3 linked regions of the Mus musculus genome follow. The protein of the gene in region 3 interacts with the protein of the main gene of each other region in a biochemical or structural test. Links are inferred from orthologs where the notes say so. Each region holds a gene or a part of one and is shown on either strand. Other genes may lie near its edges.

What was found.
Region 1: of the proteins of Clspn (region 3) and Usp20, one has a biochemical effect on the other in vitro, tested with the Homo sapiens proteins (2 studies listed by BioGRID, with this or other methods). The link is inferred for Mus musculus from reciprocal best matches to the Homo sapiens genes CLSPN and USP20.
Region 2: of the proteins of Clspn (region 3) and Csnk1g1, one has a biochemical effect on the other in vitro, tested with the Homo sapiens proteins (2 studies listed by BioGRID). The link is inferred for Mus musculus from reciprocal best matches to the Homo sapiens genes CLSPN and CSNK1G1.

Annotation. Positions count from the first base shown.
Region 1 is NC_000068.7:30,978,245-30,988,561, reverse strand, and holds the start of Usp20 (ubiquitin carboxyl-terminal hydrolase 20), read right to left. Parts: upstream 6,284-10,317; 5' UTR 6,164-6,283; intron 313-6,163; exon of another isoform or gene 1-312. Other genes in the region: BC005624 (telomere length and silencing protein 1 homolog), read left to right, coding at 6,702-6,784, 7,020-7,079, 8,512-8,563, 9,597-9,667.
Region 2 is NC_000075.6:65,904,401-65,914,820, reverse strand, and holds the start of Csnk1g1 (casein kinase I), read right to left. Parts: upstream 5,812-10,420; 5' UTR 5,653-5,811; intron 5,534-5,652; exon of another isoform or gene 5,159-5,533; intron 1-5,158.
Region 3 is NC_000070.6:126,575,170-126,584,889, reverse strand, and holds part of Clspn (claspin), read right to left. Parts: intron 9,045-9,720; coding exon 8,848-9,044; intron 8,549-8,847; coding exon 8,394-8,548; intron 7,278-8,393; coding exon 7,048-7,277; intron 6,568-7,047; coding exon 6,456-6,567; intron 3,931-6,455; coding exon 3,855-3,930; intron 3,459-3,854; coding exon 3,361-3,458; intron 382-3,360; exon of another isoform or gene 81-381; intron 1-80.

The sequences.
Region 1 (10,317 bases), on a different chromosome or scaffold from region 3:
GTGGAAAGGACCCTACTTAGTACTGCTGACCACTCCAACAACTGTAAAATTGGACAGAATCACTGCCTGGATACATGCCTCACATATGAAGCCTGCCCCCTCAACAGAAACTGGAGTTCCAGAAGACCACCTTATCTGAAAGGCCCAGACTACAGAGAACCCTCTGAAACTGAAAATCACCAGGAAGCCTAAAGATGGGAGTCCTCCCCCTGGTACTGTGTCTTAACATCCTCCCCTTATGTTTTACCAGCCCTGGTCCCCACCAGCCTTGTAACCTAACGTGGCAAGTAATAAATGGGGCAGGAGACACTATTTGGAGCTTATCCAAGGTCACCACTCCGTCTACCTGGTGGCCTGACTTTTCCCTGACATCTGTAAGTTGGCTATAGGAGCACCTCCTGGTTGGGACCTAGGAGGGTATTCTGATACTCAGACGGCACCTTCAACATCTCTTCTGTATGTAGACAAGCATCTGAGAGACCCATGGGGAGGTTGCTCTACCCGATTTGATAGAAGCAGACTCCGAACCCATCCCTTCTATGTCTGTCCCGGGTTCCACCGGAGGCAGTCCCTCAATCCAAAGTGCGGAGGTAGGGCTGACTTCTTCTCCAAGAGCTGGAGCTGTGAGATTTCAGTTGAGGCCTACTGAAACCCCACCTTGAGCTGGGATTATGTTAAAGTAAAAGCCAACTATACCCTAGAGCCCTACATGCCTGGAGGAAAAGATGTAGCTGAGTGTGCTGACTGGTGCCATCCACTCTATATTACCTTCACTGAACCAGGGAAGCAAGCTCTAGAATGGACAAAAGGATACACTTGGGGTCTTAGGCTTTACAAAGAACGATATGATGAGGGAATGTTGTTCACTACCAAATTAATAATAAAGACCCCCCCTACACTCCTTTGGGTCCCAACAAAGTCTTGGCCCCAGTTAAGATAAACCCCAGACCATCACCACCGCCCCATTCGCATGGTACTGAGACCCCTTTGAAAAGAGTCATTGAGACTGCTCCCCTCAACCCGCCTGAGCAATCTCACTCGACCCATCTAGTCCAAGAGGCTTTCAGGGTTATTAATAGCACTAACCCTGAAGCCACTAAATCATGCTGGCTCTGGTATGATGTGGCACCCCCTTACTATGAAGGCATGGAATTTATAAAGGCAGTCAACCACTCTGATGAAGCTGCAACATGCCGGTGGAAACAACAGAGCGCTAGGCTCAACTTATCCGCTATCACTGGGCAAGGACTATGTGTAGGAACAGTGTCCCCCCCCCCCCCCCCCGCCATATCCACCTATGTAATCAAGCCATGTCCAATAATCGATCCACTGGCTACCTCTTACCTCTGCCAGGTGTAGTGACATATGTCCTTAATCCTTGAGGGTTGGAAAGAGGGCAGAGGCAGGTAAAACTCTGGGTTTGAGACCAGGTTGGTCTACAGAAATAGATTCTAGTTAGTCAGGATACACAGTGAAACCCTTTCTCCAAACAAAAAACCAATAAAAATACATCTTTAAAAAACAGCCTGGTGGTGACAGCAGTGGCACAAGCCTTAAATTCTAGCACTCGGGAGGCAGAGGTAGGAGTTCCAGGCCAATCTGGTGCACAAAAGAGTTCCAGGGCCGGGCAGTGGTGGTGCACACCCAGCACTTGGGAGGTAGAGACAGTCGAATTTCTGAGTTCAGTTCCATGCCAGCCTGGTCTACAGAGTGAGTTCCAGGACAGCCAGGGCTACATAGAGAAACCCTGTCTCGAAAAAAAACAAACCAAACTAAAAAAACCTAAAACAAACAAACAAACCAACAACAACAACAACAACAACAAAAAAAAAAACAACAGAGAAGTTGGGTGTGCTGACATATGCTTTTAATCCCCAAACAAAAACTAAAACCACAAACATAAAGAAGGAGAGAGGAAAGTGAGAGAGGAGGGGACAGGTGGCCCTCTTCTCTTAAAAGAAGATGGGCAAAACATCCCTGAACAATAAGCAAGCTAGCATTTGGAGTGCACATTAGATAACAGGTTTTTAAAGAATTTATCTGGGGCAGGGATGAGGGTGCACATGTGTAAGCCAGAGGCCAACCTTGGATGCCACTTCTCTAGAGCTGTTCGCCTTGTTTCTTGAGACAGTTTCTCTCCCAGAGCCTGAAGCTCCTTGACTAAGCAGGCTGGTCAGGAATCTCCCCTTCTCCAGCACCAGGATTTATAGGCATACACCACACACATTTCCACAGGAGCTCTGACTAAGCTCAGGTCCTCATGTGCGCTGGGCAAGCACTGTCCTGACTGAGCAGTTCCCCAGCACTGCTAACAACTGAACTGTTCCGCAGTACCCTTTCGAAGCACCAGCACCTAGAGTCGGTGGGCAATTGGAGGTAAGGACTTGGGAAAGATAATTAAAGAAAAACTAGGTCTCTGTGGAGGGCCGAGTGGGATGTAAATATCTGAGCCTCAAGCACAAAGAAGCAATGGCCACAAGCACAAGGTGCTATCTGACACCACCTTCACCTCGAGCTCTGAGCTCAGAACTCGCCAGCCTTACTTTCAGTTGTTTCAGCAGGCCCACCTGTTGCTCTGTCACAGTGGCCTTGGAGAATGGTCACTGCAAAGTTTTGCAGGAGAAACCCAGGCTGGCTGTTTATGGTGACTTCCTCTCTCTGGGGATTTGATTGCTTGAGATACTTGGGCATAAAGGGGCCAGAATGTGTTTACTTTTCCATGACTCAGCAGCAGTGACATTAGGAAATGCAGATATGGAAAATAAAGAAAAAAGGCCAATATCAGCTTAGGCAGGAGAATGAGGCTCATCTCCATTAAAGTACCAGGTTCTGGGTACAGGCCCCTTGAAGAGCAGCACGGCCCACTGTGCAGCTGCTCTCACACTCCCACCTCTAGAGCTGTAGAGTAAGGACGGAGGCAAAGAGGCCGCCTCTCCTGCCCTGAGACCTGAGTTAAGATGCAAGCACCTGCAAGGACAGCTAGCAGGCAACCAGGGAGCCCCACCCTCAGGGCCGGCTGGGGGCGGGGCCTTGGAGGGGCAGCCGCGGCTGCGCACTCACTTGAAGGCCTGGCAGCCACAGGTGCCCATTACTCATCACTTTCCCCAGAGCTTCTGGTAATATTCCTCCGCCTCCCAGGGAGTCACCCTTGGGATCTGAAAGTGGCTCTGCCGAGCCTCCGCCCACACAGGTTCCTTCAGCCACCACTCACAGATCCTCGCATGGGCCAACCACAGCCCCTAACCAGAACGCCACGCCCCTTGCTGACACGTGCATCTTCCTTTTCTCACTCTTCCCCCAAATTCCAGACACCGTCCACCTCCCTGTCCCATTACTTCCCATTGACTCTTTATTTTTGTTTGTTTTGTTTTGTTTGTTTTGTTTTGTTTTTCGAGACAGGGTTTCTCTGTGTAGCCCTGGCTGTCCTGGAACTCACTCTGTAGACCAGGCTGGCCTCAAACTCAGAAATCTGCCTGTCTCTGCCTCCCAAGTGCTGGGACTAAAGGCATGCGCCACCATGCCCGGCTTCCCATTGACTCTTAAGCTGTGTGGCATCTCTACCCCCTTCTCACACCTCTAGGTCTTTCTGCCTACCAGGTACCCTACCTTAGTAGCTCTGCTAACAGCTCCAAGTCTCGAGCTCTCCCAAGAATGACCTCGAAGGACTCCCAATACTGCCCTGGAAGGCCAGGATGCAACCCATCCATCACCAATGGTGGGGAAAGGTGCCGAGTCACGGAGCCAGGACCCCAGAGCCACGACAAAACCCAGGAGACCTGCTCTGCAGTCAGTGATCTAAAAGAACTGTGGCTCCAAAATCCCAAATGGGCCAGCCAGTGGACACAGGGCCTATCTTCACCTCCTAGCTCCAGCAAGGCTTTGTTTTTGTTTTTTAAGGAAAAAAAAATCGTGCTAGCCTGGAAAGAGTCCCAAACCTATAATGTACTTTCCTTTCCATTGACTCTGAAGAGTCCCCTCGTAGACTGTGGCCCAGGTCCCTGAACTACTACTACTACTACTATTTCTTCTTCTTCTTCTTCTTCTTCTTCTTCTTCTTCTTCTTCTTCTTCTTCTTCTTCTTCTTCTTCTTCTTCTTCTTCCTTCTCCTCCTCCTCTTCTTCTTTTTCTCCTTCTCCTCCTCTTCCTCCTCCTCCTCCTCCTTCTTCTTTTTGGATTTTGGAGACAGGGTTTCTCTGTGTAGCCCTGGCTGTCCTGGAGCTCACTGTAGACCAGGCTGACCCCAAACTCAGAAATCCCGACTGTCTCTGCCTCCCAAGTGCTGGAATTAAAGGTGTGCGCACCACTGCCAGGCTTCTCCTTTTTTCTTATTTATTTATTTTTATTTGGTTTCTGGAGACAGGGTCTCTCTGGGTAGCCTTAGCTGTCCTGGGACTCACAGAGATCTGCCTGCCTCTGCACGTGCCATCGTTACCCAACTCAAATAAGCACTTTGGAATGCTTACCATGACGAGGCCATCCCAGATGTGACTGCTCCTTAAGCATCCATCCAGCTCCGCAGAAAGTCAGCACCCATCCCACCTGTCATGCCAGACTAATATCTGAGACCCCTCACTTTCCTGGAGGCTCCTTTCCAGAGCACTTTTACTTCCAAAAACACTACTCAGAGCGACTGCAGTCTCTGTATCCAGCACCTAGGTCAAATTTCCAGCTGCCACACTCCAAGCGGCACTTGTGTCAAACGAGAATCAACTCCGTCTGCCAGAGCCCAGGGAGTTGGTATCACCTGGCATTCTGGCTTCAAGGATGGGAATGCAGATACAAACAAGGGACAACTTGTTTGTATCAGATGTCCCTCTCTGTATCTTCAAATGAGGAATGTCTCAAAATGCTCTTGACCTTGTGACTTTCCTTGGAGGCACCAGAGAGGCCCAGTACCCTAGAGGTTAAGGGGTAAGGCATGGTTAGGCAGGGAAATTAAGAGCCACCTCTGAGCCTGTGAGAATTGTACACCCAAGTCCCTGGATTCATGCAGCAGTTCCCAAGGTGCCTCTTTTTCAGCCAACAGAGACATGGTGTCCAATGACTGCCATCGACATCTGAAGATGGTTGATCTAATCTCCAGTGGGGTCAAGACTTTTGATACTTAATGCCTCTTTGATCAAAGCTAAAAGGCTGTTTCAAGACATCCCGAGTTTTCTCTTTGTCCCAGTCTAAGGGGAATATGACAACTTCAGAAAAAAAAATGTTCTGGAAAAAAGCCAAGGCATGGCAGACATGCCCTCCCTGCTTCAGAATAGTCTTCTGGAAAAAGTGTCCATCAGCCCCTCCCCCAGCCCATAAGCTGGCACACCAGCTGCAGCAGCAGCAGGGAAGACCCACAGAGGCCCGCTGTCCCTGAAGCACACCCTGCAGCTGTGAAAGCTCTGTCCCCAACCCAGCCTCACCTCCCAGCTGCAGAACTTGAAGTACGGGTTACTTCTCTTACGCCTCGGTAGCCTCGTTTTTTGAAAGAGAGACCCAACTGCATCTACTTCGTGGGATTTGATGGAAGGCTTCTAGAAGAGACTGCTTACCCCAGTGCCTGCCACAGTTAAGTGTCGAGTAAGAAGCGCTGTGCTCCAGAGGAAACTAGTAATTAAGGAGTCCCTAAAAGTCCCATGTGAGCTATTACGCATGCACTTATCCATCTTATAAGTGTTTATAGACACCTTTAAAAACTAACTACCGTCGCAACATCTCGGGGGTGTAAGGTGCTTATGGCAGAGCGACAGTCCTCCAGGCCAAACGAGTCCTCCCAAGCTCTCAAAGAGCAGTCCCTGGCCTCTGAACGTCAGTGGTACCTCTCCTAGGGACGAATGGCTGCAGGCCAACCTGGTATGGACAGTCAGCACCGGGACTGATATTCACCCCCGGCAAGGTGATCAGCTTTTGTGAGTGAGGAATAAATGTGCACGTCCGAGCCCTGGAGCCCGAGTGGCCTCCTGCTGGCCTTCCAAGCGACGTGCGGCCTGCTCAAAAGCCAGAGCCGTGGGGGTTCGGGGCGGGCACGGGAGTCGGTGATGGGATGATAGGCGGCGGGGACCTCTTACCAGGTCCTGGCCGCCCCGCAAAGCCAGGCCTCCCCTGCTCCCAGCGGCTGGACGATGATCCCCGCTCTAGCGGCCCAGCCCCCGGCAGCAGGCAGCAGCCGTCAGAAACTCACCTGCCGTCGCAACCGCGCCGCCTGTCAGTCAAGCTAGCCCACCGCGGCGCTGCCTAGAGTCTTGTGGCTCTGCCTGCCACGCCCCGCCTCCTCACCGTCAGACGTCCAATCGGGAGAGCCTATGCCAGGAGCGGGGGCGGTGTCACAGGTCACAGCCTACTAGAGGGCGGTACCGGGCACGCCGGAGGCGTGGCCGTGCGAGTGGTGAGTGCCCAAGCATGCCGGGAGTCGGGGGAGTGGCCGTGCTGCTGGGGTTTCACCGTGTGGTTCGAAGGCCGTCCTGTTGAGCGGTGAGCATGGTTACTCGATGGGCGTGGTCGAGGGTGTGGCCACGCGGCAATACCTGCCCTTGCTTTTCGGAGTTCGGAGTGGTTGCCTGCCCTGCTGAGGCGGGGCCCTACGGGCTTGGGGTGTGGCCTGGCAAGGCGGAGGCGGGTCTGAGTGCAGCCGACGCTCTGACGACACTTCTGCGCGCCGGAAGAGAGAGGTTCCCTGGACTACGCGTCTGGTAACGCAGCGCCAAGGGTCTGGTTCCGCTATGCGGATTACTGGGAAAACATTCCGCCGGCGCCGGGCTGACTCGGAGTCGGAGGAGGATGAACAAGAATCAGAGGAGGTTCGGTACGTGTTGCTGAGACAGGCTTGGGACTGGATACCGGCCAGCGCCACGCAGAGGCTCCTAGGGATAAGGCCACATCGCGGCTGGGAGAGGTGCCCCGGGGTCGCATGGGTCTGACTGCCGATGACCACTGGATCAGGGACTCGGCAAAGGGACATGTCCTTAGAACGGAGTTTGGCTTTTGAGTTCCGCAGGTCTCAACCTGTGCGTCACTTTTTATTCCTTTTTTTCCCCCAGGCTAAAACTGGAAGAAACCCGAGAGGTGCAGAACTTGCGGAAGAGGCCAAATGGGGTGAGGTGGGTACCACGGGGGTGGTCGCGGCGTCATTGATTTCCAGCTAAAACAAAAATTTCCAGCTAGGGTCGCAGTCACAAATCCCTCCTTTGACATACAGTTCTACTGATCATAGAGGGAACTAAGGTTCTTTATAAATGTTTGTCACATGCCCTGAACCTGATGGTCTATGGGTCTGCTCCAAGTCACTAACTGTAAATTTTAGCTGGACTGATGAATTGTGATTGACAACGTGTTAAGAGATAAGAATTTGGGAAACTTAGGTTAAAAAGTATAATAAATAAACAATAGCCTGGTTTGGTGCAATCCTATCACAGGGAGTTTGAGGGCAACCTAGGCTTCATAAGAAGAATAAAGAAAAAGAAAAAAACTTGAGGTAGAGAGACAGCATTTATAATAATATTTCCATTTATTTCCCACCTATTTCTTTTTTAGTTTATCCCATGCTTTTAAAGAGTTAAATCATCATATTACTGTGAGCCTCTGACCATGGTGTGTGTTTTCCAGAAAACCTTTTTAGAAGGCTGCGTCGTGTGCATTGCCAGGGGTGTGCACTATAACTTGCTACCAGATTGACTGGGATTGTGTGCTGCCTCACACCTAGACTCCCAGACTTGAGAAACTGAAACAGTGGGATTACCATGAGTTTGGTGCCAGCCGGGCCTGCAGAGTGAAACTGGTCTCAGCATCAACAAGGCCCATCCTAGTGCCATAGCACTGTAGTCCCAGCTGTGTGGGAAGATCACAGGTTTAAGGCCTGACTGAGCAACTATGAGACCTGGGTCATAAAGTAAACAAGAAATGGTGGGGATAGCTCAGTGCTGGTGTGCTTACTCAGTCCCTGTCAAGCCTTGGCTTCAGGTTTTAGGGTCATTTTGATAAATTTTCCTCTGGCATATGTCTTCTGATACAGATCCCTTGACTGGCAGAACCTTACTCTGTGATTTCCAGAATATCAAATGGCTTTGCAGGAGCGTGCGCCAACTGCTTCATTGCCTCTCACCCGACCCCCCATTTCACCATTCACAGCGAGCAGAGCACTGGGTTCTTCTTTGGCTTTTGTAACTACTGCCCACTACTCTCTCAGTTATGTAATCCCAATTGTCTCAGTTTGCTTCCTACTGCTGTGACCAGGACCAAAACAACTTGTACCCTTCCTGATCATCCTCAGTTATTGGGGGAATCATGGCAGGGCCTGAAGCAGAGACTGGAGGACACTGCTTCCTGGCTCATTCACATCCAGCTATGTTGTACAACACAGGCCCACTTGCCCACGGGGAGGAGCACTGTCCACAGGAGCAGGTTCTCGATTGAAGTTTCTTCTTCCCAGACAATTCCAGCTTATGTCAGATCAACAAAACCCTAGCCAGCACACTGATTTCCTCCTTGTCTCTGTGTTGTTTCTCTTTCTGTGGTTTGGTTTCTTTTGCTCAGTGCGGCTGCCCTGCTGGTAGGAGAGAAGGTTCAAGAGGAGACTACTCTGGTGGTGAGTGTTGGCTCCTCTCTGGGGCTGTTCTTCCTCTTTTTTTTTTTTTTTTTTAAGATTTTTTAAATTTATTATATGTAAGTACACTGTAGCTGTCTTCAGACCCTCCAGAAGAGGGCGTCAGATCTCATTACAGATGGTTGTGAGCCACCATGTGGTTGCTGGGATTTGAACTCAGGACCTTCAGAAGAGTAGTTGGTGCTTTTTTTTTTTTTTTTTTTTTTTTTGGTTTCTCTGTGTAGCCCTGGCTGTGCTGGAACTCACTCTGTAGACCAGGCAGGCCTCGAACTCAGAAATCTGCCTGCCTCTGCCTCCCAAGTGCTGGGATTAAAGGCATATGCTCTTAACTACTGAGCCATCTCTCCAGCCCCTGTGACTATAACCATGGTACCAGGGAGATAGCTCAGAGTGTTTGTTATGTAAGCACAAGAGTCCATGTTTGGATTCCATGGCATCCCATAAAAACCTAGGCATGGTGGCACATGTCTATAATCTGAGCACTGGGGAGGCAGAGAGGATAATGTAGCGGAATAAGCAAGCTGAGAGACCCTCTCTCTCAGTATAAGTCAAAGGGTTGAGGAAATGGCTCTGAGGCTAAAGTGCTAACATTGTTTCTGAGTCAGGCTCCTAGCACCCACATAATAGCCATATATGATAGCTTACATCTGTATTCCTACCAGGGGGTCCGGTGGAGTCATATAGATGTCTAGAGCTGGCTGACCAGCCAGTCCACCCAAATCAGTAACCTCCCTGTCTCTGAAATTTAAGGTGGAAAGTGATTGGGACAGATTCCTGAGTTTGGCCGCTTGCCTCCACAACCACACAATATGCACAATTACATATACATGCAGAGAAATTAAAACAACAACAACAGCAGCAGCATGGTGAAAGATTGATGAGAACACACAGCGTTAACATCTGGCCTGCACGTGTGTGCACATACATGTTCATGCACACCAGCACACTCGATGATGACACTAACTGAGCTGCTGTTGTTCTAGATGTGTCCTCTAAGCTGTGTGCTTTTCTGCAGGATGATCCTTTCCAAATGGCGACAGGGGGCATGGTGGACATGAAGAAACTGAAGGAGCGGGGCAAAGACAAGTAAGTGGGGGGAGCGGGGTGCAGACACTGTCGCCTGGGCCTGAGTGTGCAGGGACAGGGAGGGACATCCCGCATAGAGCATACCATAAGTGTGCCAAGGTACAAACTCCCAGGAGGGCTCAGAGCCAAGAGAGAAGATTCTTTTGTAAAAGGGTAAAAGGGCCTTGTTTGTTATTTCAGACATGGGGAGAAGCTTTGCATGAAAACATAGTTAGAAAATGATATACTGACAACCCAGCACTCTGCAGATGGAAACAGAAGGATTAGGAGTCCAGGGTCAGCCTGGGCTGCACTAGACCCTCTCTGAATAAAGCAACTGAGAAAATGTGTAAGTGTATTTAAGTAACTAGGGCATAGCAAGTAGAGCTGAGGGCCTGAGGTAGATCCCTGACCCTCACATAAAAGCCTAGTGGGACAGCGTGTATCTGTAACCCCAGCATCGGGTAAGTGTCCTGAGACTCGGTGGCCAAAATAATGAGCTCTGGGTTAGTAAGAGACAAAGGGGAGAAGCTAAAAAGAAGGGCACTCTGACACAACCTTGGCACACACAGAAACTTAACTATTATAAAAGTTTGCAAAAGAAAGCATGCATTCAGACTGGAGCGATGGCTCAGTGGTTAAGAGCACTGACTGCTCTCTTCCAGAGGTCC
Region 2 (10,420 bases), on a different chromosome or scaffold from region 3:
CATCAGGATGACCACTGGGAAATGGACAAAAAATTCAACTGGGAAGCTGGAAGAAACTGTAATCTTTAGTGATTTAGGAATCAGAAATTAAATCTGATTATCATAGCCATTCAAGTGTGCATCGTGCACATACACACACACACCCTTCCTCACTGGTGACCAGTAGTATCTCAAAACTATGAAGAGAGATGTACCTCCATAACACTTTCATTGAGAGGCCCGCAAGTTCTTTTACTAGAGTAGGAGCTATGTGGGGCAGAAATCAACACAGATCCAATGCTGTTTCCTAGAAAAGTTATGCAGCACTTTGATGAAGACATCAAATTGTGGTAAGCACTAAGCACCGCCCAAGCACTCTAAGAGAGATGCTGTACCTAATTCTCTTTGGTGAAAGAGGAACAGCTATTGTGTCTACCCTCCTTCTCTGGCCATGCTATAAAAGCCAAGAGAGAATCGTTTCCCAGAATGTCCACACCTCCACTGTGACAGGCAAAAAAAAAAAAAAAAAAAAAAAAAAAAATTACTATCCCTGGCATCCCAGCCCCACATAACTACGCTGCCCACTTGAAGCTTCTAAGTGAGGGACAAACTACAGTGGTGTAGGGATAGTCCATCTGTCTTCCTACCTCACCAGAACATTCCTGCTGGAGACAAAGCATGAGTCTCTTCTGTCCAGATGGCTCTCTCTTCAGGCCATTTCTGGGATATCACATTAGTTCTGCTTTACAGCCTATCAAAGATACCTGGGTCTCTAAGGTCAGGCTAAGTACCAACTACTATACTCAGCAAAGTATGCTTTTTCTCAGTTCTGGAAACCTAATTGCCCCTGCTTGGCATTTATTTAGATTCAAATGTGCCCTGCACCTGCCTGTCAAAAAAATCCAAATTGAATTGGGTATACATTTTAGATTAAAACAAAGCCATAGGTATATAGGTAAGGAAAAACTATTGCTACAAGTATAAATTAGAGTGTGTTTGTCACTAAATAAAAATTCTGAGCAGACTTTTGTTTTTCAGGTTGTGATCTACCGAATCAATAAAGATTTATTCTAATACCACCATTTATTCTAATATACTCCTTAAAAAAAAAAACATAGCTTTCACCAGCAATTAAACTATAGTAAGTGGAAATGACAAAAATGGCTTAGCAATACCAGATCTGGTGGCACAGGCCTGCAATCTCAGCACTTATAAGATAACACAAGAGGATCAAAAGTTTAAGGCCAGCCTTGACTATATAGCAAATTTGAAGCCAAATCCAGAACATTAAATAATTCAACAATTACCTTTATGCATTGTCTATTATTGTCCTATATAACGCAACATAACAATCCATGTTATTTAGTTACGTATTAATATTATATAATCTAAATCTACTGAGGGTTTGTATTTTTGAAAAATAATCTGATGAATTCAAAGCCACAAAACATGGGAGGGGGAGGAAAGAAGGAATGTGAAACAGATGGCAACTCATTTTTTCCCTGAGTCCATCTTGAACACAATCCCAATAATGTCAAAATCCAATTTAGCTTTCTAAATAAGAAATCTATAAAACTTAAAATGGTAATTCTCAAGCAAATTCACTCTTTTCCTCTCCCCAGCTTCTCGGAGATTCTATATTAGGCCCCAGTGGATAGAGTCGCTGTGAAGGAAAAACTATCATTCTACAAATCCAAAGTTCTTCCAGGAAAGTCTACTATGTATGTAAAGCCACTGAAGCAGTTACTACCAAACTGGTGACATTAAAATCTAACTACATTCTATTTTATATCTTAATATAAAGGTTATTTTATATACTAACATAAATATTAAAAATTAATAGCCTTAATATAAAGATTATTTAACTTAATTAGAAGCTAAATAACCATTTCCATAAAATACGGTATAAGGTAGGAACAAGCTCAGGAGAGAAAAGTCCCATGGTTACAGTAAAAACAAAGTAGTTTCTGGACTTTTTTTATTTTTAACATTTCCACAGTAATTCTTTTGCTCCTGGTTTAACAGCACCACAACATAACTAACTATTGTGCTGATTCTATGATTTTACTATATTGTGCATATGTACAAATGTATGTGTCTATGTCCTTATACACATCTCCTCTATTATGCCTAAACTTTTTAACATCATCAAAGAGCTGTTCAAGAAGGGTCAACAGTTCTTAGATTCCCTCACCAGCAAATTCCACAACTGACAACTGCAAAGATCTCTGGCTTGGTCACAGACTTCTTGTGGAAGAGATCACTAGGGAAAGTATATCCAATGGTTTTGTATTTGTGGCATATAATTTAGGCAGAATTTTCACACCAAATAGCTATTATCCTATTCCTTATATGAAAAATAAATGGATTAACATTTTATAAAAAGACAGGTAAAAGACAGACAGTGCTGAGAGCTAGCAAGACAACATAACTTCAACTTTAAGTAATGAAAAATAACAACTCAAAAAACATAGCCAAAAAACCTAGATATGAATTTAAGAATGTTCCCTTTAAAAACGCCATTTGGAAATTTGAATCACCACACCAAAAAGCCTCAATCAGAGCAAAACATAATTTCAACCCTGCTTCTAAAACGTTATTTAGCCGGACGTGGTGGCGCACGCCTTTAATCCCAGCACTTGGGAGGCAGAGGCAGGCAGAGGCAGGCAGAGGCGGATTTCTGAGTTCGAGGCCAGCCTGGTCTACATAGTGAGTCAAAGGACAACCAGGGCTACACAGAGAAACCCTGTCTCAAAAAACAAAACAAAACAACAACAAAAAACAAAAACAAAAAAAAGGATGTTATTATATTCAGCCCCTTTGAATATAAAGTATATTTGAAATGTTTTAAACTAACCACAGGGACTGAAGAGATGGCTCAGCTGTTAAAGGTACTGACTGCTCTTCCAGAGGACTAAGGTTCAAATCCTAGCACCCACATGGCAGCTCATAACTGTCTGTAACTCCAAGATGTCACACAGAGACACATGCAGGCAAAACATCAATGCACATAAAATAAAAGTACATAACTAAAGTATATATAAAAGATTACTAACCAGAAAGAAAACCTGTTAGTCGAAAATCCAACAGAAGCTGTGATGATGCCTGCTTTTAGTCCCAGCACTTGGGGAGCAGAGGCAAACGGATTTTTGTGAGTTCCAAGTAAATCTGCTATACAAAACAATTTCTGAACCAGCCAAGGTTACACAGTGAAACCCTTTTCCAAAAAGAAAAGAAAAGACCAACATAATAGGCTACAGAGGAAAAACCAATCCATCAATAAATGGGGTTTGGAAGCACATGCCTTTAATCCCAGCACTTGAGAGTCAAAAACAGGTGGATCTCAGTGAGTTCAAGGCCATCTTGATCTACCAAGGGTCCAGGACAGCCAGGACTACACAGAGAAACCCTGTCTCAAACAAACAAACAGGCTACAAAGAACTACAATTTTAAATCCACAAGGCAAGTAAGCATATGTCAATATTTCATTTTCTAAAATCATTTCTACATTCTGATTACTAATGATTTAGAAGGAGGAATTTATTGTATTTTCATTTATTCATTTTATAGTTTATATAAGAATTTTCTAGAAGTCAAGTGAATTATCAAACAGCTGTAACCCCAACACTCCAGGGGAAAGAGTATCTCACGATCAAGGCCAGCCTGAGTTTACATGATAAGTCAGTCTCAAAATAACAAAACAAAACTAAGTTTTGCTAATCTTATAATCTAAGATGGGTCATGCAAGTGATGTTGACCTTACAATTACTATTTTATGCCCCAAGTTTAACTTCCATTAAGAAGACACGTGATTTAAGATTTAAGTAAGTTACTTATGTTTTTTATTTCAATCCATGCTATATCTAACAGCATAAAGATTATCTGAGAAGAACCTATAAAATGTACTTTGGTCATTTCAAAAAAATAAACATATTGTACTTAATATGGGCTTTAGGAAACTATTGATAATTGCATTTTATGCTACATATGATCAATTTCTAGGATCTAAAGTTGTATCTCAATAGTGAAAACTGTGTGAGACCGTTCTGAACTGAATGCTCAGAACTACAAAATAAAGAATAATAAAGCCGGGCAGTGGTGGTGCATGCCTTTAATCCCAGCACTGGGGAGGCAGAGGCAGGCGGAGCTCTGTGAGTACAATACAACCTGGTCTACAGAGTGACTTCCAGGCCAGCCAGAGCGTGAGTGTGTGTGTGTGTGTGTGTGTGTGTGTGAGACAAAAACAAAAACAAAACAACAACAACAACAACAACAACAACAAAAAACCCAAACCTCGAATTCCTGCCGTATACTATTTGAATATTATCAGTTTCTTTTTCAAAAATCCCCTTCCACTAAGTTGGGCTCCCTTAACTATGTTGACTAATGACAACCTTGAAATTCAAAGGTGCTTGTTTTAAATGGAGTTATATAAGTAATCACCTCTCTTTTGACACTGACTAGAATTTAATTCCTCCTTGTGAAGAGGCTGAAACTGTTAGTCTGTGACTTGACCAAAGTCAACAACTAGTTAAGAGGCAAAGGCGGGTTCATTCCCAGAATTATCTTTCTCAAAGCCAATACTTCCACTTGAACATAATTATCTCCTTAAAAGATTAAGAGAGAGTTCAATCATTGGAAAGGGACTCTTGTCCCTTGTCTCTCTAAATGTTCACTAGTTCTTCTAAGACATATACTATACTTCCTACAATTCAGTCACTTAAACAAAATGAAGATAGCATTTCTAATTCGTTTAAACCACAAAAGGATTACTGGCAGGTGAGAAAGAGGTTGAAAAAGGCTTGCCTAAACATGTCTCATCTAGACCTCTAAATATGGATTTCCTAGTGGTTTTTTTAAAGCATGCTCATTTACAAGGCTACGTTTGAATATAGTCAGATGCCTTCCAGTATTGCATTTTCTAAGAAAATTCATACCAGACTCATATCGGTCTGGGAGACTGCTAGAATATGCCATTCTGGCACTTTGCAAATATCCGAAAAATCATCCGGGGGCAACAAACCCAGTTTCACACTCTTGTTTTACGACGTGATGCGTACCCACTTAGGGGACAACGCTCCTATAGGGCGCCCTGCCGAGAGAGCAATAAAGGAAGAAGCGGGGGAAGCGCACGGAAGTTGGGTGGAGGGAGGTCTCATTACCCACTCTTCTGCCCTACCTCTGCCAAGGGCGGCTCCACGGTGCCCAGCCGACACGAAACCCTTACAAGCCCTCGAAGCCCGGCTCTGTCCCAACAGAGAGTCCGGGACGCGGACAATGTGAAGCACAGGATGACCACAGTCACCTCTCCAAGTCTATACCCTTGATTTCGGCCCTGGATGATGCTCCCCCTTCTTTTCGGAGCTGGCACTCCAGGTGGGAAACTCCCGGTCTGCATTGGCCGAAGTCCCTGCTTCAGAAAGGGCGCCTCCTGCGACCGGGTCTAACCCGCAACCCGCAACTCTTTGCACGCAGGGACCCTGGTCCCTCTGTCCCGCCCCCGCAACCCTCCACGGACAGGCCCGCGCCCCACCCGGGATTCCCGAGTCCACTGCCCCGCCCCAGCGAAGGGCTCCTAAAGCCCCCACCCCACCCCCCCCACACACACACGTACACACACACACACATCTCAGACTCCAGTCTCCCAGACCCAGTCGAAGCCAGAGTACCTACCTAAATCAGCGGTGCTCCAGTGTTCCAAGGGGGCGGGCGCGGTCCCCTCCCCGAGGCGCCTACTGCTTCTCTCAACCACCCCTTAAGCCGCAGCTTTGCTTTCCCAGGAGCGGGAGGGAGCGGAGGGAGCGGAGGAGGCGGAGGGGAGGGGGAAGACCAGTTGAGGGGCGGCCGAGCCAAGCCGGAAGTACTAATGCAGGTCCCACCCACCTCCTGGAGCCGCAGAGCATCCTCGTTCTTCTGATAGGACAAACCCCTGTCGTCGCTGTGAAATTCAGACCACCACTTCCGGGTCGTTAATGCTGCGGCCCCTCCTTAGCAACAGCGTGGGGTTGCTAAGCGGAAGTGCCTTTAAATACCCCCCTTCCCCCCCCATTTCTTCGGGGACTGTTGGTAAGTGGGTTGGGAGCTTCGTTTTCTCATTTGGAAATGTTTTTAGGCCTTTAGTTTACAATGTTAGGCCAGGTAAACCCTTCGCTGCAGCAGGTAGTAGGCCCAACGTAGCTGCTTCCATCAGTTGGTCTCTGACACCAGCTCCAAACTACACACACCTCCTGGAATCCTGGGCCATCTCGGCAGCTCCTCCCAAAGCTCCTCTCCAGGCCCCTTGCGGGAGCTTCTTTCTCACTGTCTAGCAAGCATCTCCCTCTGGTGGATTTCCTGTCGTTTCAACCAGACTTTTGCATGCATTTCGTTCTGAACCGGCTCCAGAAGTCGAACAGTGAAGTGGGTAAGAAAGTTTTGTCTTACCTTGTCTTTTCTTTTTTCTTTTTTTTTTTTTTTTTAAGGATTTAACGTTTTTATGTGTGACCTGGAAATAACCTAGCTATATTTGAGTCTATGAAAATTGACCAGAGTAATATTATTATTGTTATTCCATAAAACGGGGGAGTTGGGGGAGACAAAGAATGCCGGTAATCTCGCTTGAGTAGGAAGACAACTAAGCCTCCCATCAGAATAAACCAACATACCTATACGGTGACTAAGAAAGGTGTCCATAAAAACCCTCATTTAGGCTGGGGATTTAGGTCTGTGATACAAAACTTGCCTGGCATGCCCAAGGTCTTTAGTTCGATTCCCAGGCATCGAAGAAAGGAAGGGAGGCAAGGAGACTCATTTACTGGACATGACAAGCAGACCTGTAATGCTTAGACTCCAGAGGAAAAGCGAGGATAGTAACTCCAAGGCCTAGACTACATGGTCAGTCCCAGTTTTAAAACATTTTACCTAACATACCCGAGGCATAAGTTCACTCTTTGAAAAAACTGGAAAACTATGGTGGAGACCAAAGCCAACAAAATAACCCCCTGTAACGACCCCTATAATTATAGTAATTATATTTTTAGAGAAACCTGGGGTGGGGGATAAAACCATCACTTGACTGTATTATTTTTTGAGTCTGAATCTCACTTTGAAGCCCTGGATGACTGATCAGGTAATGTCTATGTAGACCAGGCTGGCCCTGAATTCAGAGACCCACCTTCCTCTTCTCCCAGGTGCTGGGATTTAAAGCGTTCACTACCGGGATGGACCGGCTTTCCTATTTTAACTTTAACTTCTGAATTTTTCTCATCTACATCAGTGGATACACTTGCAACTGTAAGACCCGATTTTATTGGTCACAAAATTATTAGTAGACTGTTGTTTACCTCAGCTAAGACAGAAAACTAATTTTGGTAATTGAAAAGTAACACTAGGCCTTTTCATTTCCTAGACTCATAGGATGGCATTAAATTGATCCATCCTAGGCAGTCAACTCTGCAAAGCTTTTAAGAAACCACTTTAGGCTCAAATGTACCAGCAGTTGGTTATTAAGTCTAAAATAGTTCCATTCCCTACCCCCACCATCATCGTGTATACAATTGGAAATACACACACACACACACACACAAACACACACACACACAATCTGGGTCAGTGATGAGTGTTACAGTAGTTTAGTATTTCACCTGCCAGCAGGTCTAAATTCCAAACTTTAAATTCTAAAATAAATATAAGTCCAACATGCAACAGTTTACAATACATCTAAAGAACTAGAACATGTTTATGGTTTAAAAAAATGTGGCCTATAGAAATTGGTGCCTCATCAAATAAAATTCAGTTAGAACTAACCATAAGCTTAAGCTAATGTGGAAATGCACCTTCATCTGCAGAGCTCTCTGTCCACTGCCTGAGGTGGTTTACAAGCAGCATTTAGCTCCTTTCCTATAGCCTTGGGGTTTTTTAATTCACTGTTCTATTAATATATGAAAATCTGGATTGAGTCCTAAATAACCACATGAGCTTTTTTTTTTTTTTAAAGATTTATTTATTCACTTAATGTATGAGTACACTGTTGCTGCCTTCAGACACCCCAGAAGAGGGCATCGGATCCCATTACAGATGGTTGTGAGCCACCCTGTGGTTGCTGGGAATGGAACTCAGGACCTCTGGAAGAACAGTTGGTGCTCTTAACCACTGAGCCATCTTTCCAGCCCCACATGAGCTTTTGTTTGTTTGTTTGTTTTGCTTTTCGAGACAGGGTTTCTCTGTGTAGCCCTGGCTGTCCTGGAACTCACTCTATAGATCAGGCTTGCCTTGAACTCAGAAATCCTCCTGCCTCTGCCTCCCAAGTGCTGGGATTAAAAGCGTGCACCACCACCATTGCCTGACCACATGAGCTTTTATAATTCTTTCATTTTCAACATAGTCATGCTTAGAGGCCTGGGAAGGTGAGTTGCAAAGTCCTACACTACAACTGCCTATGTGGGCTTAACTACAAAAATCTTATTCTCTTTATTATATTTATTTGTGTATGTGTTGGTGCTGACATACCATTGTGAATGTGGAGGTCAAAGGATGTGTTGAAGGAGTCCCTTCTCCTTTTCAACCATATCGATGGTCTAGAGACTGAGCTCAAGGCGGCAGGTTTGGCATTGGTAGTCGCTCTACCCTTTGAGTGATTTTGCTGGCCGAGGAATCTATACTCTTAATATGAGCTATAAAACAGTAGCATATATATAGGCTAGATCCCGAATAGCCTTCACAACCAGTGCAGTACCCTCATCATATATGACTAATATGGGACTTTCAGCCTCCTAACAGTGTCTTTTTATATTCACTTTTTAATTTTTTCTTTTTTAAAATTATTTATTTTATGTATATGAGTATACACTGTAGCTGTAGAGATAGTTGTGAGCCTTGATCTGGTTGTTGGTCAACCCTGCTCACTCCAGTTGGCCCTACTCACTCAAACCCTGCTTACTCTAGCCCAAAGATTTGTTTTTGTTGTTTCTTTTGTTTGTTTGTTTGTTTTTGAGACAGGGTTTCTCTGTATAGTCCTGGCTATCCTGGAACTCACTCTGTAGACCAGGCTGGCCTCGAACTCAGAAATTCGCCTGCCTCTGCCTCCCAAGTGCTGGGATTAAAGGCGTCCAGGCTTGGCCCAAAGATTTATTTATTTATTTATTTATTATTATTATTATTATTATAAATAAGTACATTGTAGCTACCTTCAGACGTGCCAGAAGAGGGTGTCAGATCTCATGGGTGGTTATAAGCCACCATGTGGTTGCTGGGAATTGAAATACTCTTCGGAAGAGCAGTCAGTGCTCTTACTCACTGAACCATCTCACCAGCCCCTTCATTTTATTTTCTTTGAAATGACTTAAAAAATTAAATTGTGCATGGTGCCTGTGTACATCACTTCAGAAACTGAGTGAGGAGGATTGATATGAATTCTAACCCAGCCTGGACTAAACAACAAAAAGAACACATTTGATATGTAATTAGTACTGAAACCTTGTTTGAGGCCTCGCTATGGTAGCATACAGCTGGAACTCAGAAGACAGATAAGATCACACTCAAGGCCATCTGAGTTACAAACAATAAAATAAAAATATGTACTGCTAGAGCTCATCTGGTTTCACTAGACATAAAAATATACCAGAATTAGAAATGAATAGTTCATTGATGAACAATCTGGCCTATAAGAAGAAACTTAGCCAAGTTAACCATTACTGTGTCTAAGCAATAAACAATTGAAAAGATATAACTCCTATATATAAATGATCCAGACAAACTCAGGATATGTGACAAACAATAAAATGTTAAGCCTGAAGAAGTGAAGGCTAAAGATATAATTCATCTTTAAATAACTGGAGGTTGACGTGTGGAATAGCTAGTTCTTTCAAGAATGGAACCAAAAATAAATAGGAATTAAAACAACTTACACTCAACATTTTCACAATTACTGTTTCACAATTACTGTTGAGTAATAGGACAGTCCATTTAGTGAACACTTACTGGCTGGCCTGCATTGAACAAGATGGTTTCTAATAGTCCTACAAATTTGATTTGATGACAGTTTCTTTGATTTCTATATGCTATTCTCAAAGATTAAAAAAAAAAAAGAAAAAGAAAAAATAAAAGACCAATTATAACAATGTTGGTTAAACTTGCAAGTCCCAGTTAAACTTGCAGTTTTTCTAAAAAAGAGTTCATCTCAGCCAGGCAGTAGTGGCACATCCCTTTAATCCTAGCTCTCGGGAGGCTGAGGCAGGCAGATCTCTTGAGTTTGAAGCCAGCCTCTGGTCTATAGTGCAAGTTCCAGAATAGCCAAGGCTATACTGAAACTCTATCTTCAAAACCAAAAGAAAGAAGAGTTAATCTTTAAGATTCTAAGTATAGTAGAATTTAGGGAGCCCTTTTCTCAAAGGAGTGGGGTGGGGGGCAGAAAGGGGCTGGAAAGATGGCTCAGTACAAGTCAAGGTACTTCCTGCCAAGCCCG
Region 3 (9,720 bases):
CTCCAAGCTCCCAGGTCATTCTGACAGACTCTGTTTAAAAATCAATCAATTCATTCCGAGCTGATAGCGATCCTGCGAACATGGTGAACGTGCCTAAGACCCGCCGGACATTCTCCAAGAAATGTGGGAAGCACCCGGCCCACAAGGTGACACAGTACAAGAAGGGCAAGGACTCTTTTTATGCCCAGGGAAAGCGGCGTATGTTATGACAGGAAACAGAGTGGCTATGGTAAAAAGGCTAAAACTACAAAGAAGATTGTGCTGAGACTGGAGTGTGTTGAGCCCAACTGCAGATCTAAGAGGATGCTGGCTATTAAGAGATGCAAGCATTTTGAACTGGGAGGCGACAAGAAGAGAAAGGGCCAGGTGATCCAGTTCTAAGCCGATTTTGTTATGAAGACAATAAATTCTTGACTTTTCAACTCCTTTGCAGTTGTTCTTTTGGGAGGAATAAATTAATAAAAGCTTTCAGAAATTAAAAAAAAAATCAATCAATCAATCAAACCCCAAACCAACCAGCCAAAACCAAAACATTTAAAATTACTTGATTATTTTATGAGTGTTCTGCCTGTGCACCACATGCTTGCAGTGTGTACAGAAGATAAAAGGGGATGTCAGACCCCATTGTTACTGGGGTGACAGATGGTTGAGGGCCACCATGTGGGTGCTAAGAACTGAAACTGGGTCCTCTGGAAGTACAGTACCAGTACTCTCAACTACTGAGCCGTCTCTCCAGTCCTCCATTCTCCTATCTCTTATGTTGTGGGGAATTATAAATGCACACCGACACACCCAGCTGGCTTGCTGGCGTCCTTCCAATAGGTGGGTTCTGGGGATCGGACTCAGGTCATCAGGCTTGTACAGCTAGCAGCTTCACCTAAAGCCATCACCTGGTCCCAGAAAACTCGTAATTTTTACTACATATTTAGGAGTACCTGCTAGAAGGTTCACACTTATTTGTTTTGTATTTAAGCTCATCAGTGCTTAGAGAACAGTCTGATACAGCAAGACCAGAACTCCCTGTTGTCGACACTATTACAGTTTGTCTTTTCTAGTTCCTTTTCTGGTGAGGTGCTGGAGACTGAGTGTATAGCCTTGCACAAGTGAGGCTGTTCTCTAAAGCCCTCTAAACTTCAGCTCTACTCTTACATTTTGAGATACTTCTTGGTAAGTTGCCTGGGATAGCTAAAACTCTGTAGGCCAGGGTGACCTTGACGTATCATTGTCCTAGCTGAGCATTCAAGTAGGTAGTCACAGGTCTGCACCACCCGCCGGCCTATTAATTTTTCTAACTTCATTCTCTTTAAGAAGGCAGCCTTCAAAGTCCTCTTCTCTATGGTCACAAGAAGCAGAAATTTGGTGGGTCTGATAGATGAGTTATTTTTCTTTTTGAGACAAGTTCTCCTTATGTAACCCTGGCTGTCCTGGAGTTCACTGTGTAGATCGGTGCTGGGATTAAATGCACGGCCACTGTGCCTAGCTTGAAAGATGACCTCTTAGTCAGAGATATATTGTATTTTCCCTCTAAATGCTAGGCTTCCTGGAGAGTTCCTTCAACGGCCATTAGTCTCCAGGCTTCTCAGGAATGTTGCTGACAGTTCATCTTTGGTTGCCATTCTTTTTTTTTTTTTTTTTTTTTTTTTTTGGTTTTTCAAGACAGGGTTTCTCTGTAGCCCTAGCTGTCTTGGAACTCACTCTGTAGACCAGGCTAGCCTCGAACTCAGAAACCCCCTGCCTCTGCCTCCCAAGTGCTGGGATTAAAGGCGTGCGCCACCACTGCCTAGCTGGTTGCCATTCTTTAAGGACTGATTTGAAAAATCTCTGCAGTTAAATAAGTTTAACAAATACTACCTCTGGGGGTTAAAAGACCTGGTTATATTCTAAAGTTACACAAAAAAGTTAAAGTGACAGGTGACAAATGAGAACCCCAGCTGGATCTTAAGAGGATGAAATGACAGGCCAAAAGCAACAATATAAATCTAATAGAGATCAATATGACGTCCTGACATGAATGGAAAAGTCATGCACATGCTATAAGCTACTGGATCTTTATCAAATTACCTTTGTGAAACTGCTTAAGATTATGATACTATGGATATGCTATGAGGGAAAGTAAAGATGCAAAGTGAAACACACAAAGAAATTGTTTAAATCCCAGATGTTATGAGGAAATGTACTACCAATGCTTTCACACACATTCTGGCCAATTGATATCAACAGTTCCCTCCCTGCTTTCCTCCCTCCTCCCCCCCATCCTTCCCTTCACGTTTGTGGTGCTGGGGATAAACCAGAACCTTACACATACTATGCAGTGCTTTACTATTGAGCTTCACTGCCAATCCCTGTCCATCTGTCCATCCCTCCATTAGCTTACCCACCACCCACCCACCCACCCACCCACCCACCTATGTTTTTAGTAGTATGTGGTGGAGATTAAGCTCAGGGCCTCATTCATACAGGCAAGTCCTCTACCTATATCCCCAGCTCATACATTCTTTTGAATACTCTAAAAGTTTTACTCTCATGAGTGACAAATATTTTAAATATAAAAAAATTAAGCAGGCCATTTGTCTGAGACGAGAATCAAGAAAACCAGGAATGACAGACTTCATAGGAGCAGTTCCTGCCAAGGTCAGTTATCAGCATAGTCTTAGGGCATAGGGACTGACTCAGTTCTCCTGATCTTGGGTCACATGACTAATACCCATCTAACAAACAGCCAGAGCACACCTGATTAGAGAGAGACTATTCCAGGACACGATGAGAGTAGGAAGCAACGCTACTGAAATGTCATTGGGTCTGGGAGGAATTGAGAGATATTTGGTATTGATGTCACTTAAGGAAAATAGAACCATCTTTGAGTACGCAAGAAGTAGCCACAGAAGCCAGGCGTGGTGGCGCACGCCTTTAATCGCAGCACTCGGGAGGAAGAGGCAGGCGGATTTCTGAGTTCGAGGCCAGCCTGGTCTACAAAGTGAGTTTCAGGACAGCCAGAGCTACACAGAGAAACCCTGTCTCAAAAAAAACCCAAAAAACAAAACAAGAAGTGGCCACAGAAGGGTTTTAAAAAACTTATTCATGTGCATATGTGTGCCATGGCACAAGTGTGGAGATCAGAGGAAAACCTCTGGAAATTGGTTTTCTGCTTTCATCATGGGATCTAGACTGCCTTCCTGGCAGTCAGGGTTGCACAGGAAGCACTTTTACCTGCTCAGTCACCTCATTTGCCTCAAGGCCATGAAGGACTGGTTTAAATGTTAATCTCGAAAAGCAGAAACCAAACCAGCAAGTTTATTTAAAAAGGTAGCAGGCTATACCTCAACTTGGGAGAACTGTCTAGAAGCTGGACAGAACACCTACATTTGGCGCTTCATCTTCTCAGACTGCTTCAGGAGCTCTTCTTCATCATCCTCCAGGTCCAGGGCCAGCTCTTCATCATTGGAGTCACTGTGTTCATCCTGCCACGGCAGAGCAGCAAACTCAGTTACACACCGACAACAGGGATCACAGTAAGGGAGTGCTGCCACGCCTTAAGCACGGAACAGAGTCCTGTGCTCTTTTCCCTGTTCCTAAACTGTTTACTTTGTAGACAGAGTCTAGCTGTGCAGCACAGGCTGGTCTTGAACTCACAAACCTACCTCAGCCTCCTAAAGCACTAGGATTTCGGGCACATGGTCCCAGGTTTGAGCTCCAGCGCCATGAGACAAAACCAGAAGGCAACAAGAGGGTTTATAAAGTTCTGTCCCCACGCCTCAGCACAGGACACTGCTTCTGGTAAGACGCTAAGCTCAGTTCTCAAGAACGAGGGCAGGGGAGCACCGAGTGGAGCTTGGTTGTACTCTCTCTGCACTCACCTCGTCACTAGCAAATCCATTCTCCTTTGAAACAAGCTGGAAGTCTCCAAATTCCTCCTCTTCACCCTCTTCCTCCCTAGAGGACAAAACACTAAGTTACTGAAAGCACACCACAAGCAGCCAGCCAAGCTAAGGACTTAAGACACTCATCAGCACCAGAAATTTCTTTTAAGAAGCGGGAAATGAGGTATTTTGTCTTTTTAAAAAGGTGTTTTGAGCCTGAGGGCTAAAGCATTTACCCTGCTACTGTGAAAACTGGAGTTTTGACCCCAGAACCTGCATCAGTGCCAGCTTGGCAGAGTGGCCCACCTGTAATTACAGCCTCATAAGGCAGAGATAAGGATGCTCAGAGTGGACTGACTAGAAAGGCTAGTCATCCCTGGGTGTAGTGGTCCAGGCCTTTCATTCCAGCACTTGGGAGACAGAAGGAAGTAGGATCTCTGTGAGTTTGAGGCTAATCTGGTCTATAGAGTGAGGTCCAGGTCAGCCAGGGCTACAGAATGAGACCTAGTCTCAAAACAAAACAGAAAAAATTACGTTGAGACTATTATATAAGCAACCTCCGAAGTCCTTCAGGTAGTAAAAACTCTACGCCTATTAGACAAATCTTCCTCTCTTTCTCCAGCCACCATCTAATTTCCTGTCTCTGTCAAACTGCTTACTCCAGTGACTATATAGGCAGACTTATACAGTACTTGTCCCTCAGTGACAAATGTTTCTTGTTCCTAGCATATCGTCACGGTCCCTCCATGGTGAAGCATGTGTCATACTTCCCTCCTATTGGCTGGGTTTGATGTACACACTTGGTGGATGAAGCAGAGGATTACTAGTTTGAGGTCAGCCTGAACTAACAGTGAATTCCAGGCCAGTATGGGCTGCATAGGAAGACCTGGTCTCAAATAACAAAAACAAATTTCCTTCCTTTTAAAGCCATGTAATGCATATAAATTCTATTTAGCAGATGTGCTGGCTAGTTTTATGTCAACCTGACACAAGCTATAATCATGGAGGAGGGAGCCTCAATTGAGAAAATGCCTCCATAAGACAGAGTGGTACGCAAGTGTATAGGACATTTTCTTTTTCTTTTCACTGTATTATTTTACACTCATTGGTGTTTTGCCGGCATATATGTCTGCATGAAGATGTCAGATTCTAGAACCCTAGCTATAGAGAGTTGTGAGCTGCCATGCAGTTGCCAGGAATCGAGCCCAGGTTGTTTGGAAGAGCAGCCAGTGCTCTTAACCACTGAGCCACCTCTCTAGCTCCTGTAGTGCATTTTCTTAATGAGTGACTGATGGAGGAGGGCCCAGCCCACTGAGGTGGTCCTGGACTGGTGGTCCTGGGTTCTATAAGAAAGCAGGTTGAGCTAGTCAGTATGCACACTCCTCCATGGCCTCTGTATCAGCTCCTGTCTTCAGATTCCTGCCCTGCTTAAGTTTCTGTCTTGATTTCTTTTGATGATGAACAGTGATGAGGAAGAGTAAGCTAAATAAACCCTTTCCTCCCCAATTTGCTTTAAAAAAAAAAAAAGACTTATTTATTTATTATATGGTGAGTACACTGTAGCTGTCTTTAGACACACCAGAAGAGGGCATCAATCTCATTACAGATGGTTGTAAACCATCATGTGGTTGCTGGGATTTGAACTCACAACCTTTGGAAGAGCAGTCAGTGCTCTTAAACACTGAGCCATCTCTCCAGCCCTTCCAATTTGCTTTTTCTCGTGGTGTTTTATCACAGCAACAATAACCTTAACAAGTCAGCAGCCACACTTCCTCTTTATTTTGGCTATTATCAAATTATGTTAAACACAAATTATAAAAACCTGTTTTATTCATTTAGGTATAAGAAAGGAGTAGCAGGGCTGACCTCACCCTTCTTGCCTTCATTTATTTATACATTTATTTATTTACTGTGTGTGAATGTACAGGCATGTGCATCTATAACTACACACGTTATAACTACTATACTACATAAAGAGGCCAGAGGTCAACTTGTAGAGGTTGGTTCTTTCCCACCTCGTTAGACACTAGGGATTGAACTCAGGTCTTTAGGCTTGGTGTCAAGTATTTGACACTGAGCCACTTACCTGGCCTGAACTTGATTTTCTTGCCTGTTTCTAGACTATTGGATTCTAAGCACATACCACACTAGGCTTTCTGAGGTTCTTTTTGAGGTAACAGGCATGTGCCACCACTCAGACTTCTCTAGAGCCAAAGTGGAGCTGCTGGATCAGATGGCAATTCTATTATCAGCTCTGAGAAACCACTGAACTTGTTTCCCTAGCAGCTCACCAAGAACAAGCAGAGGTTTCCCTGATCTTTGCCAATACTTAGTTTATATAAAAACTGTAGTCACCTTAAAAGATCTGCCTTTCCCAAAGTTACTTAGTTTGTTGCTAAACACAGAGAACCGGATCCTAGGATTGCTTAGTTGGTTGTTTTTTTGCTTTTGTTTTCTCGGTGTATCCCTGGCTGTCCTGGAACTCAAGAGATCCGCCTGCCTCTGTCTCCAGAGTGCTGGGATTAAAGGTGTGCATCACTATGCCAGCGGATCCTAGGGTTTCATCTTCCTGCGTTCCCGACAACCTTTGAGACTCACCTGTCTGTTGGGAAAGAGCCGGAGCAAAGAGCAAGTGCCTCTTCCATCGGATCTTCTGTGCTGCTCTCCTTCTCCTGACTCCTCAGCCCCAGTGGGGCCACCGGGGAGGCATCTACCTCAACAAGGAAAGGCCAGTAAGGAAGGAAACGCCACCTCTGCTCTCCTGGCCATCTATGTACCCACCAGCTCAATTCAGTTCTTAGGTGGGATGTGGAAAAGTTCACCATCCATTCTTTCAACAAATCCTTCCTCATATTTACTGTGTGCTGAGCCCCAGGAAGACAGTCATGAACAAAATGAACACCCAATTACCTCAGAGAGCCCACTTCCTGTTTCAGCAAGCATGCAACGTTTACTCCCCACCAGACACTGTTCTAACCTCCGTAGAGAGATTAAGTTATACACTGTGATGCTGAAGCTAAAGCAGTCCTAAGTTGACAGTGTCACTGTAAAGGTGAGGAAGTGGCAGGATTCCATCCCATCCCTGTTTTCTGTGCACTTACAGAGAGGGGGCAAGAGCTTCTTTCCGGGGACGGTGACATGAGCTGACTGAATTCTCGCTGTGCTACCTGGACTCTCGCAGAACATTTACCTTGAGTAGGAAATTTGCCCGAGCAGAGATTCAAAAGTTCCTCCATGTTTTCTTTTTTGTCATTCTTCCTTGGTTGACATTTCTCCTCAGGCTGAGATGTAAACTGTCCAGTGCACAAATCCAGCAGCTCGTCCATGTTGGCGTCCATGGCATTCTCGTCCATGCTGGCCAGTGGCAACTGGGGCTTCACAGCCTGATATCGATGGCGGTGATTTCTAATGTTTAAAAATCTACGAGTACAGTGAAGTGTCGGAAATTACCCAGAGGAGAGACAAACGACAGGTAAAAACCTCCTGACTTCCAGCACCAGGGTTAGAAGCTGAACGTGGCCAGCAAGACCGCTGAGTGGGAAAGGTGCTCGCTGCAAAGCCTGAGGCGTTCAGTTCCATTCCCAGAATCCACAAGGTAGAGGGAACTAACTTCAGCAAGTTGTCCTGTGACCTTCTCATGTATACGGTGGCTCATCTGTGCTCACACATGTACACACACAAGATAAACAAAATGTAATTTTGAAGAATTATAAAAAGAAAACCAAGAAGCTAAATGTGAAGATCTCAAATTTCAAGGTGAAGGGACTTAGAATCACCACGGAAACACATCTCTGGGTGTGTCTTCAAGGGATTAGCTAGATTAGATTAAAAGAGGCAGGAAGACCCACTCTAACGGTGCGTGGTACATTCCATGGGCCAGGGTCAGGGACTGACTAAACAGGAGAAAAGAAGATGAACATCACTCATCTCTTTCTTCTTCCTGACTGTGGGGGCGATGTGCCCCATGCCTGTGCTCCTGCTGCCATGACTGCCCCGCTGTGACACACGATGGCCACTGGAACCAGTACTCAAAGTAAACCTCCTTTTTTAGAGGCTTTCTCAGGATCTTGTCAGAGCCACAAGACCAGTAACTAACACTGGGCCTCAACCCAGGCAACAAGTTTAGCCTCATGCTAACCTAGACAGGGAGGACGGGCAAGGTTTGTCAAAAGGTGAGGTATAAAGACTAACTTCTAAGGTATAAAGGTGGCTTCTAATGATATATCAGGGATGGGTACTATATCCTAATCTTACCCAACAATCAGAACACAAGGGGATGAACAGCGAAAGCCCTTATAATACAAGGACTGTGTATATGAAATGAGATCAGAGAATAGGAATGCCAGCAAGGGGTATTTACATTTTATTTTCTGGAGACTTCGTTCAAACTCGTGGAATATAAGACTAATGGCCAGGACACCTTCTCTTTCTCAGAAGAGAAAGCGCAGATGGAGTGGCAGAAGCTCATTTTATTTTTAAACAAAATTAAGCAGCACCCAGCCTTATTCCCACCCACAGAAACACAAAACTACCTACCCATCTGCATCCAACAGTTGGCTCTGAGTGTCATCTTCCAAACAGAACTGGAAGTCTCCTGCTCCTAGGAAAAGTGTCTTAGGCTCTGGGGAGGCGGTGTACAGATCCTGGGAATCCTCTACGGGAAGTGAAGGCTCAGACAGTTTTCCTGAACTCTGGCACCAAAACAAAAACAAAAGCAAAACATTTCACAAATGCCATCCAGTGTCACCACAACAACAGAAGTTGCTACTTGCAATATGTCATCCGCTCTCAAGCAACCACAGTGAGGAAGACAATGTACTGTCAACAGAACCCGAGGAAAACTACCTGTAAGCAAGAACGCCTGCTAATACACGAAGCGGGTGGATTTCTAAAGCTGAGCACCTCGGTGGTGGGAGTTGGTTGGCTGGGACGCACTCTATTTAGCAATGTGGGCAGTGAACAGAGATGAGAACAACTCTCCCCGCCTTACCTTAGAAGCCGAGCTGATCAAACTCCCTCGGAACAGCCCAGGGGACGGCGATCTGAATCCTGCTGTAGGGAGAAAACTTGCCCCACGGCCTATCTGTCTGTTGCAAGGCTGATAGGATGGAATTGTGGAACCAATCAGCTCAAAGCTGCTATTGTGACTGCTCTCCTTTGTTAGCAGTGAACTCGAGTCATCCTCATCTAAAGGAGAGGAGAGAGGTATCATTCTGAACACAGGAACGAGGTACATTTGTTTAGAAAAGAGAGCAGAGAATCGAACAGGTGAAATTCACTGGCAAATCACTTAAGTTCTAGGCTCCAGGTCATCCTGACAAGAGTGTTGTATACTTAGGGCTCATTACTCTGAGCTCAGTGACACGCGGACACTCTCTTCCTTCTCTTCTGTCTAAATACATACTTCTCTGTGATCTTTGCATAAAACTATCTCATGTGTCACTCAATCAACAAATCAACACACACCCACTCAGGATCCACCCTATGTCCATGGTCAACTATAGACATGCAGCCCAGGGCCTGGAGGGCCCTTACTTTCTTACAGACGACCCAGGTTCAATTCTCAGCACTCACATGATAGCTCACAACCATCTGTAAGTCCTGGTCCAGGACCCTCTCCGGCCTCTGTGAGCACCAGGCACACACATTCACACAGGTGTGACACTCATGCTCACAGAGTAAAAGTAAGTCAATGTTAAAAAAATAAACAAAAAATGGGCCATGAAAACCATTTTAATTCATAAATCCCTGCCATTGCTACATGTAAGAATGTGCTATTAATAGAATAAAAAAGGAAGGAAGAAACTTTTGAGAGACTATGGCCTTTACATATCAGAACTAAAGAAACGTTCTACATAAGGAT